2 linked regions of the Arabidopsis thaliana genome follow. The protein of the gene in region 1 purifies or fractionates together with the protein of each later gene. This does not show direct contact. Each region holds a gene or a part of one and is shown on either strand. Other genes may lie near its edges.

The links. The genes of interacting proteins can lie anywhere in the genome.
Region 2: the proteins of ARPC4 (region 1) and GRL fractionate together in Arabidopsis thaliana (co-fractionation; one study listed by BioGRID). This does not show direct contact.

What each region holds. Positions count from the first base shown.
Region 1 is NC_003075.7:8,151,574-8,160,295, forward strand, and holds ARPC4 (binding protein), read right to left. Parts: upstream 5,218-8,722; 5' UTR 5,144-5,217; intron 4,795-5,143; exon of another isoform or gene 4,754-4,794; 5' UTR 4,674-4,753; coding exon 4,671-4,673; intron 4,499-4,670; coding exon 4,433-4,498; intron 4,100-4,432; coding exon 4,047-4,099; intron 3,938-4,046; coding exon 3,910-3,937; intron 3,812-3,909; coding exon 3,737-3,811; intron 3,521-3,736; coding exon 3,416-3,520; intron 3,019-3,415; coding exon 2,925-3,018; intron 2,596-2,924; coding exon 2,489-2,595; 3' UTR 2,234-2,488; downstream 1-2,233. Other genes in the region: DMT2 (DNA methyltransferase 2), read left to right, coding at 46-264, 409-558; AT4G14145 (cytochrome C oxidase assembly protein), read right to left, coding at 926-1,003, 1,087-1,213, 1,319-1,518; PAKRP1 (phragmoplast-associated kinesin-related protein 1), read right to left, coding at 7,072-7,359, 7,472-8,260, 8,333-8,485, 8,570-8,668.
Region 2 is NC_003071.7:14,800,851-14,807,359, reverse strand, and holds the start of GRL (transcription activator), read left to right. Parts: upstream 1-3,509; 5' UTR 3,510-3,600; intron 3,601-3,815; 5' UTR 3,816-3,834; coding exon 3,835-4,236; intron 4,237-4,329; coding exon 4,330-4,404; intron 4,405-4,784; coding exon 4,785-4,865; intron 4,866-5,072; coding exon 5,073-5,153; intron 5,154-5,267; coding exon 5,268-5,350; intron 5,351-5,445; coding exon 5,446-5,530; intron 5,531-5,616; coding exon 5,617-5,742; intron 5,743-5,876; coding exon 5,877-5,984; intron 5,985-6,278; coding exon 6,279-6,509. Other genes in the region: AT2G35120 (Single hybrid motif superfamily protein), read left to right, coding at 86-164, 659-921, 1,319-1,447. UniProt on the Arabidopsis thaliana protein: Involved in regulation of actin and microtubule organization. Part of a WAVE complex that activates the Arp2/3 complex.

The sequences.
Region 1 (8,722 bases):
ACTAAATCTATACGTCAACTTCATGCAATGTTTTTAATATTACAGGTGACATTATCAAATGGACTCGTGGAAAAATTGCGTCCTTTAGCTCTATCAAAGACAGCTAAAAACCACAACGAATGGAAGGGACTCTATGGTAGATTGGACTGGCAAGGAAACTTACCCATTTCCATCACCGATCCTCAGCCCATGGGTAAGGTGGGAATGTGCTTCCATCCTGAACAGGACAGAATAATCACTGTCCGTGAATGCGCCCGATCTCAGGTAAAAAAAGTTCTTATGTTCCTTCTTCGTCAGCCCTCTAGCATTACTAATAGAGTACATATTTCTTTTTGTTTTGGACATTAAGTAATGTTAGGTTATGGATACAACAGTTTTAAGTGAAAGTGTTGTTTTATGAAAATGTAGGGGTTTCCGGATAGCTACGAGTTTTCAGGGACGACAAAACACAAACATAGGCAAATTGGAAATGCAGTCCCTCCACCATTGGCCTTCGCTCTCGGTCGGAAGCTCAAAGAAGCCCTATATCTCAAGAGTTCTCTTCAACACCAATCATAATTGGAAATGCAGTCCCTCCATCATTTCATTTTTTTTAGTATAATCTTTTTCTTAAAACTCAAAGTCTATGAAGCAAGAAATGATGTCTATGAAGTATGAGAAATTTTACTAGAAAATAAAGTTGTGTAGAAATTGGTATAAAGATGTAAAGTCTAACTGGTTATAAAACCTCTTTCAGATCTATTTGGACGTCGTAAATCAACACGACAACATGTATTATCAACAATTGGCAAGTCCCTCGTTGTTCTTGGTTTTAGGAAGCCCAGACAGAACTTACTGGAATTTGTACTTGGGCGATTATGTGAACTGAAGAGTCATTTAAAACTGAAACACATCTAAAAAGACTAATCTTATACAAAGACTCTTCTTAACTCGACTTGCTTTCGTTTAGCTTTGGAATTTTCTTGTACTCGTACGTGTTTATGTCCACCTTCTCTTGCATAGCCTGCGTTAAACAAAACCCAGTCAAGATTTTAGTGTTTCATCAAAGCTTTTATGCAGTCTAATTGAGCGTATATCCTTTGTTACCTTGAGCTCATCTTCAATGGATGTGTTTTTAGGTTTATAGGCATCGACAGGTCCTGTTCTCGAAAGTGCCTTTCTTGTTTCTATAATCTCCCATTCTTGGTCATCTTTTACCTTTGCAATATCCTTACTGAACTAACCAAATAAACCATATGTGGTGAATTCTAAACAGAATCATTGACATTTCCCCAGACATTTATAGATTCAGAGGTTTTCCAATCAAGAAAGAACTGACCTGCCTTGAAGGAGTTGGCCGAGTCCGAGGGCTCCAAATACAGTGAGAGATATCATCGGAAGTCCATATCTTACAAACGGGTGTCTCCTTCCCCACCTTTTAAACGATGCTGATGACTGCTTAAGAGTACCAGTAGGGGTAGTACCAGAACCGGAAGGAGAAGACTTTTGAGTTTTCTGACCGGTTTCGATTGTTGTCATCTTTGTATTAACTCTCAAAGCATACAACTGCAAGGAAAAAGCAAGAGTGAGAACCTACTACATTGTTATCATTTTTCTTAATCCTGAAAACAAACACAAGAGTAGCTACTACAATAAGCATTGAGGAATCCATTTTCTACTCTCTAATAACATTTTCTTCTGAAATTAGTCACAAAACATAGTGTGCAAATATGGTAATCTGTGAATTTCAGATCGACTCAATCAATTTGATAATAGAGCAGAGTTAAAGATCAATACTAGCTCTGTTTCACGTGACTGGATTTGTTTCGTCGTATCTTCTACAAACAACAGATTCGTATGACCTAAATAACGTTTCCTAAACCGTAGAAATTCTCAATCTAAACCCAGAAATCAGTTCCATTCTAGGCACAACACACCGATTCGTTGTTTGACATAAATAAAAACTAACCTGGAGCTGCGTGATGGCCGGAATCTGAAGTAGCTCACTAGGTCGACGCAGGACGAGATTAGATAGAGACGGCGATGGAGACGCCGAGAAGCGAGAAGAGTGATGACGAACGTTGAGCTTCTCGGTGTATACGGCGTCGTTCGTTCTTTTAGGAAATAATCAAACAAATTAATAAATTCCCCTATTATTAGTTTCAATAATGGGCCCAGCCCAGTAACTCATATTTTGGGTTACGGTGTAAAAGAAACGACGACGTTTTTTCCTTTGTTGTGGATCTTTGTTCTGTCAGAGATGAACAATTTGTTGGTCTTTGGTGGTAAGAATAAGATAAAACAACTTTTTGGTTTCTGGGATTGTACGTTCGAACATCTACGATCAACAGACCACATTTGATAAGTATCGCATTACATACACTACAATTACCAAGCCGATGGCTCGGTACTTTGGTTGTGTTAGAATAACAGAGAAAGTAGCAAAATGAAGAGTAGATGGATTTTAACCAAATAACGAGTGATTGATACAATGAAGGGTTACATTATACTACTTCAAGAGCTGCTTTACATGAACTGTTTCAAGAACTCCGTAGCAACGAGTCTTCCTCTTGTATTCACTGACTCCTTCAAGTCCCTTATTTCTTTCTCTATATCCTGCAATTTCCATGGTTAAAAAATAGTCACACTTCAAGTTTCAAATCTATTTTAAGCGGAGATTAGCATGTTGGAGGACATAATCAGAGTAACTAATCTCTGTTGACTCTTGTAGAAACAATTCAAATTCAAAGACGGATATAATGACCTTTGTTAAGGCAACTATTCAGAATACTACTTCTCAAGTTATTTCCGTGAGAAACACAACGACGTAAGGATGCATCACTAACATTAGGTTTGATGCAACCAAGACATATATTGATTGTTAGGATGCTACTAATGGGAGCAACCAAGGTCATAGAATAAAAAGATTAGGTTTCGAGAGAGACTTGCCTCCATAAACTGAATAATGAAATCAATTAGCTTCTGTTTCTGCATCTCTTCGCAGTGGTAGTTTGTTATAAGAAAGCTTATGTCATAGCCCTGTTCAAAACACCAACAAAGAAACCAATTGAAGGGAATAAGGGAATGGATCGTTCACACAATGCAGGGGAATAAACAGTAAACCATCTAAAGCCAAGGCAATGCATTTCCGCACAGTGAGATGATTCATGATTCATGATTCATAGAAGGGAAAAAGAAAGGAAAGGTGTGGTACATACAGACTATCTATCATCCTAAACCTAAAAAATGCCTGCACAGAAAGCTAAAATTAAGGAGAATTTGTGAATACTGTCTGCGTTATGTTTAATCAATTCGTGATGCATTTACCATTAAAAAAAAATAGAAGTTCGACAAAAGAGGGAATGCATTGCAACTTCTAGATAAAACCTAGTAGCACTCACAAGTACCTAAGTGTTGAATCAATAAGAAGGTCTACCTGCACTGGCTTCCTCCTCAGTACTTGAAAAGCTTCTGCCCTCATGGACAAGAATCTGAGAAATTTTTTGGTTAGTATGTTTTCAAGTTCATCCGCTTGCTTGACCTGCAAATTAAAGATAACAAATATTTGTAACAGCAGAACAAGACAGATGTCTAGACTAAGTCACGACTCGTCAAGACGTTATCTCAGGAGAAAGAAACAAAGGAAACGGTGAGAAACAGGAAAGTAAAACAACACAAAGCCTTTGTTGAACAGTGTACCACTGGGGCTCTTCCTGGAAGTATTTGAAGGAAAAGCTAGGGTAAGATGAACATTTACCTTGAGGCTTATCCGGAGTGAATTTATAGATGTTTCTATTAAACACTTTTCAGCCTCATTTCGGCATATTAAAACCTGCAAGTTGCAAAACTTAGCAGTCAACTACAAAACCTAGGTAAGAAGACAATGCAATATCAACGCTAAACTGGGAGGGAAACAAGTAAACTTCTTACAGGATTTAGCAAAAGTTCTGGGCTCGTCCTACAAAATTTAGCAAACACATGGTGATAATAAGATTCTATGCTTGAAATAAAAATGGAAGAAGAGCACCCCATTCTCACATGCATCTTCTTGTGAGAAGCTTACATACTTTAATTCAACCTCTGGTTTATTATGCCTTTCAACTTCTTGACAAGGAAAATTCTGCAAGTAGAGAAGTATAGAAGCTTTCAGGAATATAAACCATGTAAAGCTGAATGTTTTCAAAGACTCCACATGGCCCCTTTCACCTACTTTAACGAAATCGGTAGGTTCTGACACCAAATATTGCGAGAAAAACGTCAAAAAGTAAGTGAATGATGGTACAACATGTCTAATCAAAAAGTAAACAACTAATACAAGAGAATAACAGACCAAAGGTGGATGAATGAGATAGAACGCCAACATGAAGCTTTAACTGCCTTAAACAAACTTAACCATAAAGATGGAAACTTTGAGACCTATGCCATGATATCATGAACCAAAAATAATTTGTACCTGTAAGCACATGGCAGCCTCGAGTGTATTTTTTATGCATGCTAGATACAGCCGTAATGAGTTTGCCTGGAACATCAAAGACCCATCGGAAGCAAATTTTAAACAATTTCTGCAGTAAATCAGTATGCGATAGACATTGTTTAAAAGAATTGTTTCTAAACAGGACATGTTTGAATGAAAAAGAGTCTTTGTCAAGTATGAGAAGAATCAAAATTAGAATTACAGTCAAGGTTCTTACCATGTCCTAGAAATGATGTTATTCTACTCGAGACTTGCACCAGACTTAGGATTTTATCTTTCTTCTCGATGAATCTTTATGAGCTGAAAAAATAATCCAAACATAAACAAGAAAGCATCTTTAGTTTCATAGAATTTAGGTTACCAACTTTTTTATACTAAACGTCAATAAGAAAGCAACTTTAGGATCAAAATGTCTACAAGAAAACAAAACACTCTCAAATGTTTAAGATAAGAAGAGAACAAAATAACAATCAAGTAACAGCAAGATCCCGGAGACTAGAGTTTCTATGTAATCAACTCGAAGCAACAACAAGATCATGATTATTGAGAGACCCACTTAGAGAAATAAGCCAATCTACTGAAAGTCTGAAACTTTTGGAAAATGTGAGAAAGGGAAATCAAATTAGATCCCTAGGAATCAATCAGACAAATCAAAAGCCCTAAAACCTTGGTCGTGAACAAATTGCATACCTTGGACGACTTGGAGACTCGTGAGAGGAGAGATCGTAAGGAGATTTAGAGATCAACGATCGGAAAATTGAATCACGATCAAATTGACCGGATAAGTGAAACGAAATGCGTCAAAACCGAACCAAACCAGACACTCCGACCGGATCTGGTACATTCTAAAATGGAATGTTCATTGACCCACAAATACCAGCAAGATTCTGCGGATTGAACCGGTGAACCGGGTTGCTCTACTTCTAAGTTCTAATCTACAACTACAAGCGGTACTTGCGCTTTAACACATCTGTTTATGTTACTGTATTCATTTATAGCAAAGACTGGCTCTGCTTCTTGTAGAATGTTCTGTATCCGATGAGTAGTATATATCATATTTGCATGCGTAGATGTTGCAGCTGGGAGAGTTAACGCAGTCGATTTCTTGCTCAGAGGCAAGACTTCCTTCAGAGTACTTTTCTCTTGGCAAGAGCATTCCAAGATTATAAGAGACTCAAACTCAATTCCAATTGAACTCGTTGAGTCCTTAACTACATTCAAGTGATGAATTTGTTCAAGATGAGGTACTTAATGTTGAAGATACTTTGGGTTGCTATGTAAATTTTTCCACTGTTTTGGTTCCTCTGAAAGTTTACTTAGCTGTGCGTTGTGTTATTTTAGGTGCCGCCCTTCTGGGAAAACGATCTTCAGAGTATTATTCAGATGGGTTTCGAGAGATAGTCAGCAACAGAGCAACAACTGTATGCAAAACGAAACAAAAAGCAACAACATATGTCTTGTTTTAAGATGTCTAATATCTACTATATGAGTATGACATTCCCATTTGGTTGTATATTGCATAGGTTCGGAACTTGTGAAAATTGAGCCAAACAAATGGTGAACGAAGAACGGTACGGAGTTATTAATAGTCTCTGGAAGTAATGTTTTACTTCACATCGTTTCTTCTTGTATCTTTTGTTTTATTCATAAGAAAAAGTCTGCGTCTGTGAAAAGAATGGTAGATGAAGAACTTGTGGACAGATTTGTATTAGTAGAGAAGAGGTAGATTCAAAAAAAATTATATATGGATCTTATAGAAGTCTTTGTGTGATGTTTTTGGTATATTCAGGTCTCACTTGTTGGTCTAGTGTGTGACAAAGATGTTTCAAAAGTCACAAAAGTTAGATTTACTCTTTGATGATGGAACAGGACGAATTGATTGTAAAAAATGGTAATTAACACACATAGACTATACCCTTTTGAGATATGGAAGAGTTGTTTTTAGGTACAATGGTAATTTGCTATTTAGTGTAATCACCCACTTAGTGACACATCCTTCATGATAGCAATGCTTACAATAAGGCATCTGGCAACAATTCTCAGATCTCGACATATTCTCCAAACAGATTGCACAAGTCTCCGATTCTTCTTCTTCTTGGTCCAAATCTGTCGCCGACGGAGAAGAAATACAAGGCACAACACTGTATAACTTGTGTGTCAATCTGACAGAGACTATCATGAATAAAGGTTGTTGACGTTGTTGTGGCAAGTAAAAACTTTGACTTCTTTGCAGTTGGGCTTCGACAATCTTAGAACATATTTGTCCGGACAGGTCACGATCGTGGAGTTGGCGTTGAAGACGTTGATAGACGTAGTTCCGTTAGTGTAATTTGCTATTTAGTGTAATACCCAAAAATATGAATATTGTTACTAGAATATAGAGAGTGCGAGATAAAGGAAGGAGCACGCTCATGAAAATGAAAAGTAGAATTGTTTGGGAATTAGGATTGCAGTCTAAGCTAAGAGATCTGCATGAAGGTTGGTTTAATCTTCTACGAATCCAGGAGGTTTGCGTCATTTGTACATAATGAGTTGCAAGTTATGAGTGAAATTGGACTTATATCACAGAATCAGACACCCATTTTATACACATTAAACACACAAAATAGATATTAGAATTATATGTTGCACCTATCATAACCCGAAAACCAAGAAGGCTCAGCAAGATTTGAAAACTCAGTTTCTTTTTTGTAAAGCGGCTCAAACTCATCTCTCCATTGCTGCTCACTACTTGCATTTACTGATGGTTCCACGGCTTGATCACATTTGGTAGAGCATTCATTGTGAATATGAGATTGTGGGACGAGTTGGTTAAGTGTGTTGATTTCGTTTTCATGTTTCTTCTTCAGCTTGTCAATCTGTCTATATGCTTCTGCAGCTTCATACTCTGCATCCATCGCACGTTTCTGTTGACACAAGCCACATAGATTTTATGTAAGAACATGCATGCATAATAATAAAAGCAACAGACTTATTCAAGGATGTGACCTGACATGTTTAGAAAATGTAATAACGTACCTGTGCAACTGTTAATCCCTCTTCGGCTTCTTTAAGCCGAACAAGTAACTCTCCAGCTGCTTGTATGGCTTCAGCTGTATCTCTTAGTTGTGTTTGGAGACTTTTGTTCTCATCCCTCAGGTATTGTCTCTCCTTCTCTTTTTCTACCTTTAAGGCTGAAATTTCTGCTGCAAGTGCATTTATGAATCTGGACTCTGCTCCTCTGACTCCAGCTCTTGCAGCTGCCTTTTTGACATCATCTATTCCGTCTTGAATCCTTCTATGTCTTGCAAGCAATTGCATATGCTTCTCTTCCAGGTCTGCATATTGTTCAAGCATCCGTGCATGCCCTTCCATGGCCATCTGCATTGCTTCTTTCAACTCCTCCCCGCATCTTTTCTCAATTTCAAGTTCATGTTTCTGCTTATTAATCAGCGCCTTACTGGCTTCAAGCTCAGTTCTTAATTCCTCGGAGAGAGAAATCCATTTGGTCTCTGCCTCTGTCCAACAAAGTCTTTCCTGTTCTAATGTCTTCTCAAGACTCTCGTCCTGTGACTCAGGAATAGCGTTAACTGGGGGAGCTTGGTATGAAAGCTTAAGCAGGGTACACGTTTTCAGAGCTGATTTAAGAGAAGGGTCAATGTAACATTGCAGCTGCAACTTCAAATCCTGAATCTCTTCCAATAACACTTCCCGTTCTCCCATGTCACCATAAAAGTTCTTGAAATTCTCGACCTCTTCTTGCGTTCTTTCCAACTCAATCTTCGTCTTAAGCACTTCAGGGTGATTCTGATACATGTCCTTTAGAAGCTGCAACATTACATGTCAGTAAAAGGGTAATGCAATCAAATACCCTTTTACAAAACGAGAAGCCACAATTACCTTATGTTCATGGAGAAGAGAAGCAAATTCTTCATCAAGGAAATCCTCCTTAGATAATACGCCATCCATAAGGCTTTCAAGGCGAATAATTTTGTCCTCCCTTGTTTGTCCTATGATGGCATTGCACTCTCTCTCATGTTTGTATTGTTGTACCTATTACACGGTTTGGACCAATTTATGTTTGAGGATACAGTTACTAAGGGAGATTAAAAACAGAAAAAGACGCAAGTATCATACCAGTCGGTTAAGTTGGGTTATCTCAGAGGCTTGTTTAGTGCAGAACTCTTCCAGAGCCATTTCCCTCCTGATAGAACCTGCTAGAACCTTTTCTACTGCCTGTAAAGTGTAAAACTCGATCAGTTGGAGGAACCAATTATAGAAATGTGGAAA
Region 2 (6,509 bases), on another chromosome or scaffold:
TATAATAATAAGCCGTTCGGTGAGTGCACTCTTTCTCTCTCACTGTTGTTGTTGTGTATCTGTGCGAGATCTCTCCAACGAAAAAATGGCTTGTAGACTCTTTTGGGCTTCTAGGGTTGCTTCTCATCTAAGGATCTCCGTTGCTCAACGAGGGTTTTCTTCCGGTGAATCTCAATCTCCTTTCTCTTTGTTTGATCTCCTCTGTTGATTACTCTGCGTTTTTGATCTGAGATTGTTCTATTTGAACTTATTGGTTTTTGGTTTGTTCTCGACTTCTGATCGGATTAAAGCGTTTGCTTTTTGCTGGATTGATTGTCTCTGGATATCGCTATTAGCTAATATTTCTCCTTTTCGTATCAAATCCCAGAAATTGCATATGATTTCTCGAGTCTCTCTGTTAATAATGATAATCTTCTTACAAGTGTTCAGAAACTTGGAGGTAGTGAGTGATATGTTCATGTTATACGCATTATTCTCTAAAGTTTTATTCTTGAAGTAGTTTTGGGGAAGATTTTGAAAATCTGTTGTTTTGGGCCTGAAACATGTTGTTTACAGAGAAGGAAGATCTTCAAGAAGTTTTAGGAATGTTGATTATTTTGCCATTTAACCTTACTGATTATATTCTCTTTTGTTGTTGTTGTTGGCATGTGTATTATAGTGGTTTTGAAGGATTTGAAATATGCTGATTCACATGAATGGGTGAAGATTGACGGGAATAAAGCAACCTTTGGTATAACGGATCACGCGCAGGACCATTTAGGAGATGTGGTCTATGTGGAGTTACCTGATGTAGGACATTCGGTGTCACAAGGGAAGAGTTTTGGAGCAGTTGAAAGTGTGAAAGCAACTAGCGATATCAATTCTCCAGTCTCGGGTAAGGTGGTTGAAGTCAATGAGGAGCTGACCGAGTCCCCTGGATTGGTGAGTACTCATCTCAGACTCAGAATCATATTACCATTGACTCCATGTGTTGAACCAAAAAGAACTTCATTGGCATGATCAAATCCGAAATCTTAGTTTTGCGGGTGTCATTTTCATGTGATCTAACAAATTCATTCCTCGGGTAACATTCTTTGCATAAATACTTGATTATTCAACAGCTGTTAAAATGTAAGTGTCTTCAAGATTCGTAGGTCTAGATCAAATTATTTACATAAGTGAGTGTTGGAAAGTTTTAGGCTTTTAGCTGATGTGAAACTCTTGATCTTTGAGAACCAATATAGATTTGATTTATCAATAGCTTGCTTAAATATCGTTAACTTGGAGATTCTTGATTTTGTGGTCTCGAGCTGAGAGATTCTTTTGTTGGAATTCACAGGTGAACTCTAGCCCGTATGAACAAGGATGGATCATAAAAGTTGAGCTGAGTGATGCAGGCGAGGCAGAGAAGCTGATGGATTCAGACAAGTACTCTAAGTTCTGCGAAGAAGAAGACGCCAAGCACTGAGCTTTTTCTATTTTTTCCAGCATCCTTCTCCAAGCTTCCACCGCAACACAGATTGTTGTTTTCTCAATCGAGGATCAAAACGAGATTTCTCCATCTTTGTCCCTTGGACTGAAAATTCCCATCTCTCGTTCTCCTTTTTTCTTTTCATGTTTTTCTTTTAATGAAATGAAATTGTTTGAATAATGGTAGAGAATAATGAGCTTTGGCGTTGAAATTGATTGGATCTTTCATGGAGTTATGCCTTTTTCTTCTTAACTGCAAAAAGTTTCGGACAGTACATCTTCGTGGACCGAAAACCATAACCCTTAGCGGGTTGAACTAGTGCTTAGTGCTTAGCAAGCTCCAACTCCTTTGGAGGGACCAAATCAAATGCTACTGGACCACCATCCATCTATTTATAAACAATTGTACACCGGATTGGTAATGTTCATACTATATAAGATAACATGTTGACAAGAAAAATGCTTCTCTTCAGATGGACCTTACCTCCGTAGGTCTAGGCACGGCAGCAACTACACTTGTAGACTCTTGAATTAATTTGGAGTTCAGTAAAATAACTGCCCAGTCCTGAGATGAAGAAATTGGAATCCAAGATAATAGCCGAGTACAAAGAAGAAGCTAATGGAAGATTCATGCGAATAAAGAATATAGGTTCGGTCATATTGTAGCAACCGTGTGAAAACCGTTTTTTTGTTATTTTCTGGTTCATAGGGACCTCAAAAGATAATGTGAAAGGAAACAAAATCTGTGATGCAATGATATGTGCACAGAGGGAAAAGATTTTGGAATCATTGTTGCTTATTGTGAAGGCCAAGCTTGTTTAGCCACAGTTGTCCAACAAAGTTACAAGATGTGCCTTGTAATACAATATTCCTGCGTTGTCAACCCTACTTTATTATATGAAGTTGTTTTTGTGTGTCATGGTTTCCACTAATTTACTTATTAATTTGATTGTTTGATTGTTTTCTATTAGTAAAAAAGTAATATCAACATTATGATTAAATTCTCAAATCAAATAATTATGTTGAAAAGATGAAATGCTTGGATAGCACTGAGCTTTGGACACGCAACAAAAAGTGAGGGAGGGGCAAATTCATCATCAGAAACGTCAGAAACATTATTTATTAGTCGAATCATACTAAAGTTTAACACAGTAATTCTAAAATAATTGACAATTATTACACCTAAAAGCTACTCCATATGTAGAGATAATGATAATTATATACTACAAGTTAGTATTTGTCGACGTCAATATTGTTCTCTTGGTTAATTGTTTTTAAATATTAAAAATTACCGGTTAAGGGACTTGTTCTCATTTTGTCAAAGCTTCGAAAACTTACATTTCAACCACCCAACTAGAACGTTTGTTCTTTTTCTAACAGAAATTTTCCTTTTAAATACTAAAAATAGTACTTACTACATAATATACCAAATACTTTTTTCTATTTTAGCTATCCTCATTATTGAAATAGATGTCGTAGATTTGAATTTACCTTCTGTTAATGTACATATGATAAAAGAACATTGGTTTGTTATGCTAAAATCTCAATAGTTGGAGCTAATCCTATAGTTTTGCTAAAAAAAACTTGTAATCCAAATAACTACAATCAAACCAAAACAACACATGATTTGAAATATCATTTTTTCTAGTGAAAAAATGTTGTCTTGCACTGCTCAAATTCAAGTAGACAATTCCGATTCAATATAACTAAAAATCTCATATTTTATTAAAATTTTATAAACAATTTATTTTTTGAAAGGGATAAACACTTTCAGCTGTTCAATTGTTCATAATTTTCTTCTACTTACATTGTTTCGTTTCCTATGGAAATGTTTAGATTTACAGGTAAAAAGTAAAAAATGTGCTTGAGCAAGAAAAGAGTAAAAAAAAATAAAAAAATCTGCATTTTAGTTGAAAACGAAAGAAATTCTACTGACTAATTTTGTCTTAAATGAGAGAGACCCGAATTTAGCAACTCTTTATTTCTCGGCTCACACACTCCGATTAAGCCCGACGCTCTCTCTCCTCTTTGTCGTCGTCATCATCGTCTCCGGAGTAGGTTGCAGAAATTCAGATCTGAACTCTCAGACGAAGCTCCGATCTTACTGAGACATTTTTGCTCGATTTGACTTTCGCCTTTAAAGCTTCTCAGGTAACTTTCAATCTTCACGAGACTCTTGCTTGACTTGGTTTTAGCTCCTTGTTTGGTTGCTGGGAAATTGACGAGGGGATATCTATTCTCACTCGTCACTCGTTGTTGAGTATTACTGGGTTTTTGGAAGATGAATGCAAGAGTAGAGAGCTAAGTAAATTATGTTGGACGAGATTGTGTAACGTGATTTTGAAATACATTTTCCTTTATTGTAGAGATTATTGTACTGAATTAATGGCGAATTCTCGTCAATATTATCCATCTCAAGATGAATCAATGTCCCCGACTTCTGTGAGATCAAGGGAATGGGAAGGTCCTTCCAGATGGACTGAGTACTTGGGACCTGAAATGGCTGCATCAGTGTCTTCTACTAGGAGCTCTAAGCAAATTGATGGACATGTTGGTGGTTCCACAAAGGCTTTGAACATACAATGGGTAGTTCAAATGATTGAGGTTGCTGACGGTCTCATGGCTAAAATGTATAGACTGAATCAAATCTTGGAGTATCCTGATCCTGTTGGCCATGTATTCTCTGAAGCATTTTGGAAAGCGGGTGTCTTCCCTAACCATCCACGGATATGCACTTTGCTCTCTAAAAAGTTCCCTGAGCATTTCAGCAAATTGCAACTTGAACGTGTAAGTCATGAGTTCTTTTTTTATTAGACTTACTGTTTGATTTGTTGATCTGATGGTAAATGAAAAAAGATTTATTCTGCAATACTTATGCAGATTGATAAGTTTTCACTGGATAGCTTGCATGATGGTGCTGAACTTCACTTACAGAGCTTAGAGCCATGGATACAGGTAATAAGAAACTATCTATGTAATATGTTGTTGGGTTTACGTTCTGTTGTTGTGAAACTTGTTGTTCGAGAATGGTGAAGCATCTCGGAAGTCCTACATGCTATATAGTCAATCTTTCTATTAGTTTTCTTTGTGTACCTAGTCAATCTTCAATCTTCAGTCTGCTATATAGTCAATATTCAATCTTCTATTCCATCTCACCATTAGTCAGCTTTATATATCTGGGCATGCATATATGATTTACCTAATACATGGTTTTAACTTTTAAAATGTAAACGAGTAGTTATTTGCTAGCCTTCTTTCCTTAGTTCGTGTGTAGCATTTCAGTAAGGGGTGCCTTCATAGTCCTCTCGTCATGCATTTTTCTTTTCTTGAATCAGCTGCTGCTCGACTTGATGGCATTTCGAGAACAGGCACTGCGGCTTATATTGGACCTAAGCAGCACTGTAATTACCTTGCTGGTGAGTCAAAGTCTCTCATCTGCGGAAAGTATTTACTTGCTCTGGGTTGAAACTTTGAGCTTTCTTTTGAACTCGTACCTTAGGTGGAGGTCATGAAATGTTTTGGTACATTAAGTTATTATTTACTTGTCAAAAATGTCTGTGAGGATGAAGATAAAATTGTTGAGTATTCATGATTAGCTCATAACTTAGTTCAGCTTTTTGCAGCCTCATCAGAACTCACTTATTCTGCATGCATTCATGGATCTCTTTTGTGCATTTGTCCGAGTCAATCTCTTCGCAGAGAAGGTATGCTGAGCTTGTTCCTTTTCTTAGTTCTTTGTTTATTTGGATTGATTACACATGTCATGTGAGACATTACATTATTATCAATATGTAAGAGTGTTTATTTTATCAAAGTAGATTCCTAGGAAAATGTTGTTGCAAGTCTACAACCTTCTGCATGCGCTATCAAGAAATGATCGAGACTGTGACTTTTATCACCGGTATGGATGTTTTTTTCCTTGTAGTATCATTTTTAATTTGTATATAATCAATAGACTCTGATATCATATATTAACACTCCTCGTCTTGCATCCAGCTTGGTGCAATTCATAGACTCTTATGATCCCCCATTGAAAGGCTTACAAGAAGATTTGAATTTTGTCAGCCCAAGGATTGGAGAGGTTAATATTTTATTCAAATCACGGGTATCCTACGAGCTAATATTGCAACTGATACAGCAGTACTAACAACGTTACTATTTTCCTAGGTCCTGGAGGCTGTAGGACCCAGTATTTTTCTATCTGCAGATACGAGGAAGTTGAGAAATGAGGGATTTTTAAGCCCATATCATCCTAGATTCCCAGATATACTTACAAATTCTGCTCATCCCATGGTACGAACGGCTAGATTATTATCAACATAAAAGCTTAGGATTCTCAGAATTAGTAGGATGCTATTGTCTTTCCCTTACAACTCTACTTCGATGTATAGTGCTAATATTAGATAATACACTCTTGGTTCCTACAGAGAGCGCAAGATCTTGCAAATGTTACTTCGTACCGAGAGTGGGTGCTTCTTGGATATCTCGTTTGCCCCGACGAGCTTCTTCGTGTTACTAGCATTGATATCGCCCTGGTATGAATCTGTTTTTCATTTTGTTCTCGATTGTGATCTTGATAAAGAAGTTTTTCCTCCAAGGATTCTATCTTGAAAACTATCTTATCTGGTCAATAATAGGTTCTATAAATTTGTTTCACAAATCAGAAATTTTCTGCCTCTCTCTGCCTTTGTTTGTAAAATGTTAAGTGCTTTCATTTTCAGTGTTTGTTTAACTTAAGATTAGTAATGGAGTTAGGTTTTTGATGCTCAAAACAAATCAAGATTGCGTGTAATTCGTGCTGTCTCTAATACTGTCCTGTTGTATTTCAGGTCGTGCTAAAGGAAAACTTAGTCGTGACGTTATTCCGGGATGAGGTGAGTTTATATCAAATGGTCTGCGAAAAAGAGTTTGGTATTGGAATTAGTTTTGCATCAGCTGACTCTATTAATCTAACTATGCAGTACATTCTGTTGCACGAAGACTACCAGTTGTATGTTTTACCCCGAGTGTTAGAATCAAAGAAGATGGCTAAGTCTGGACGGACTAAACAAAAGGAAGCT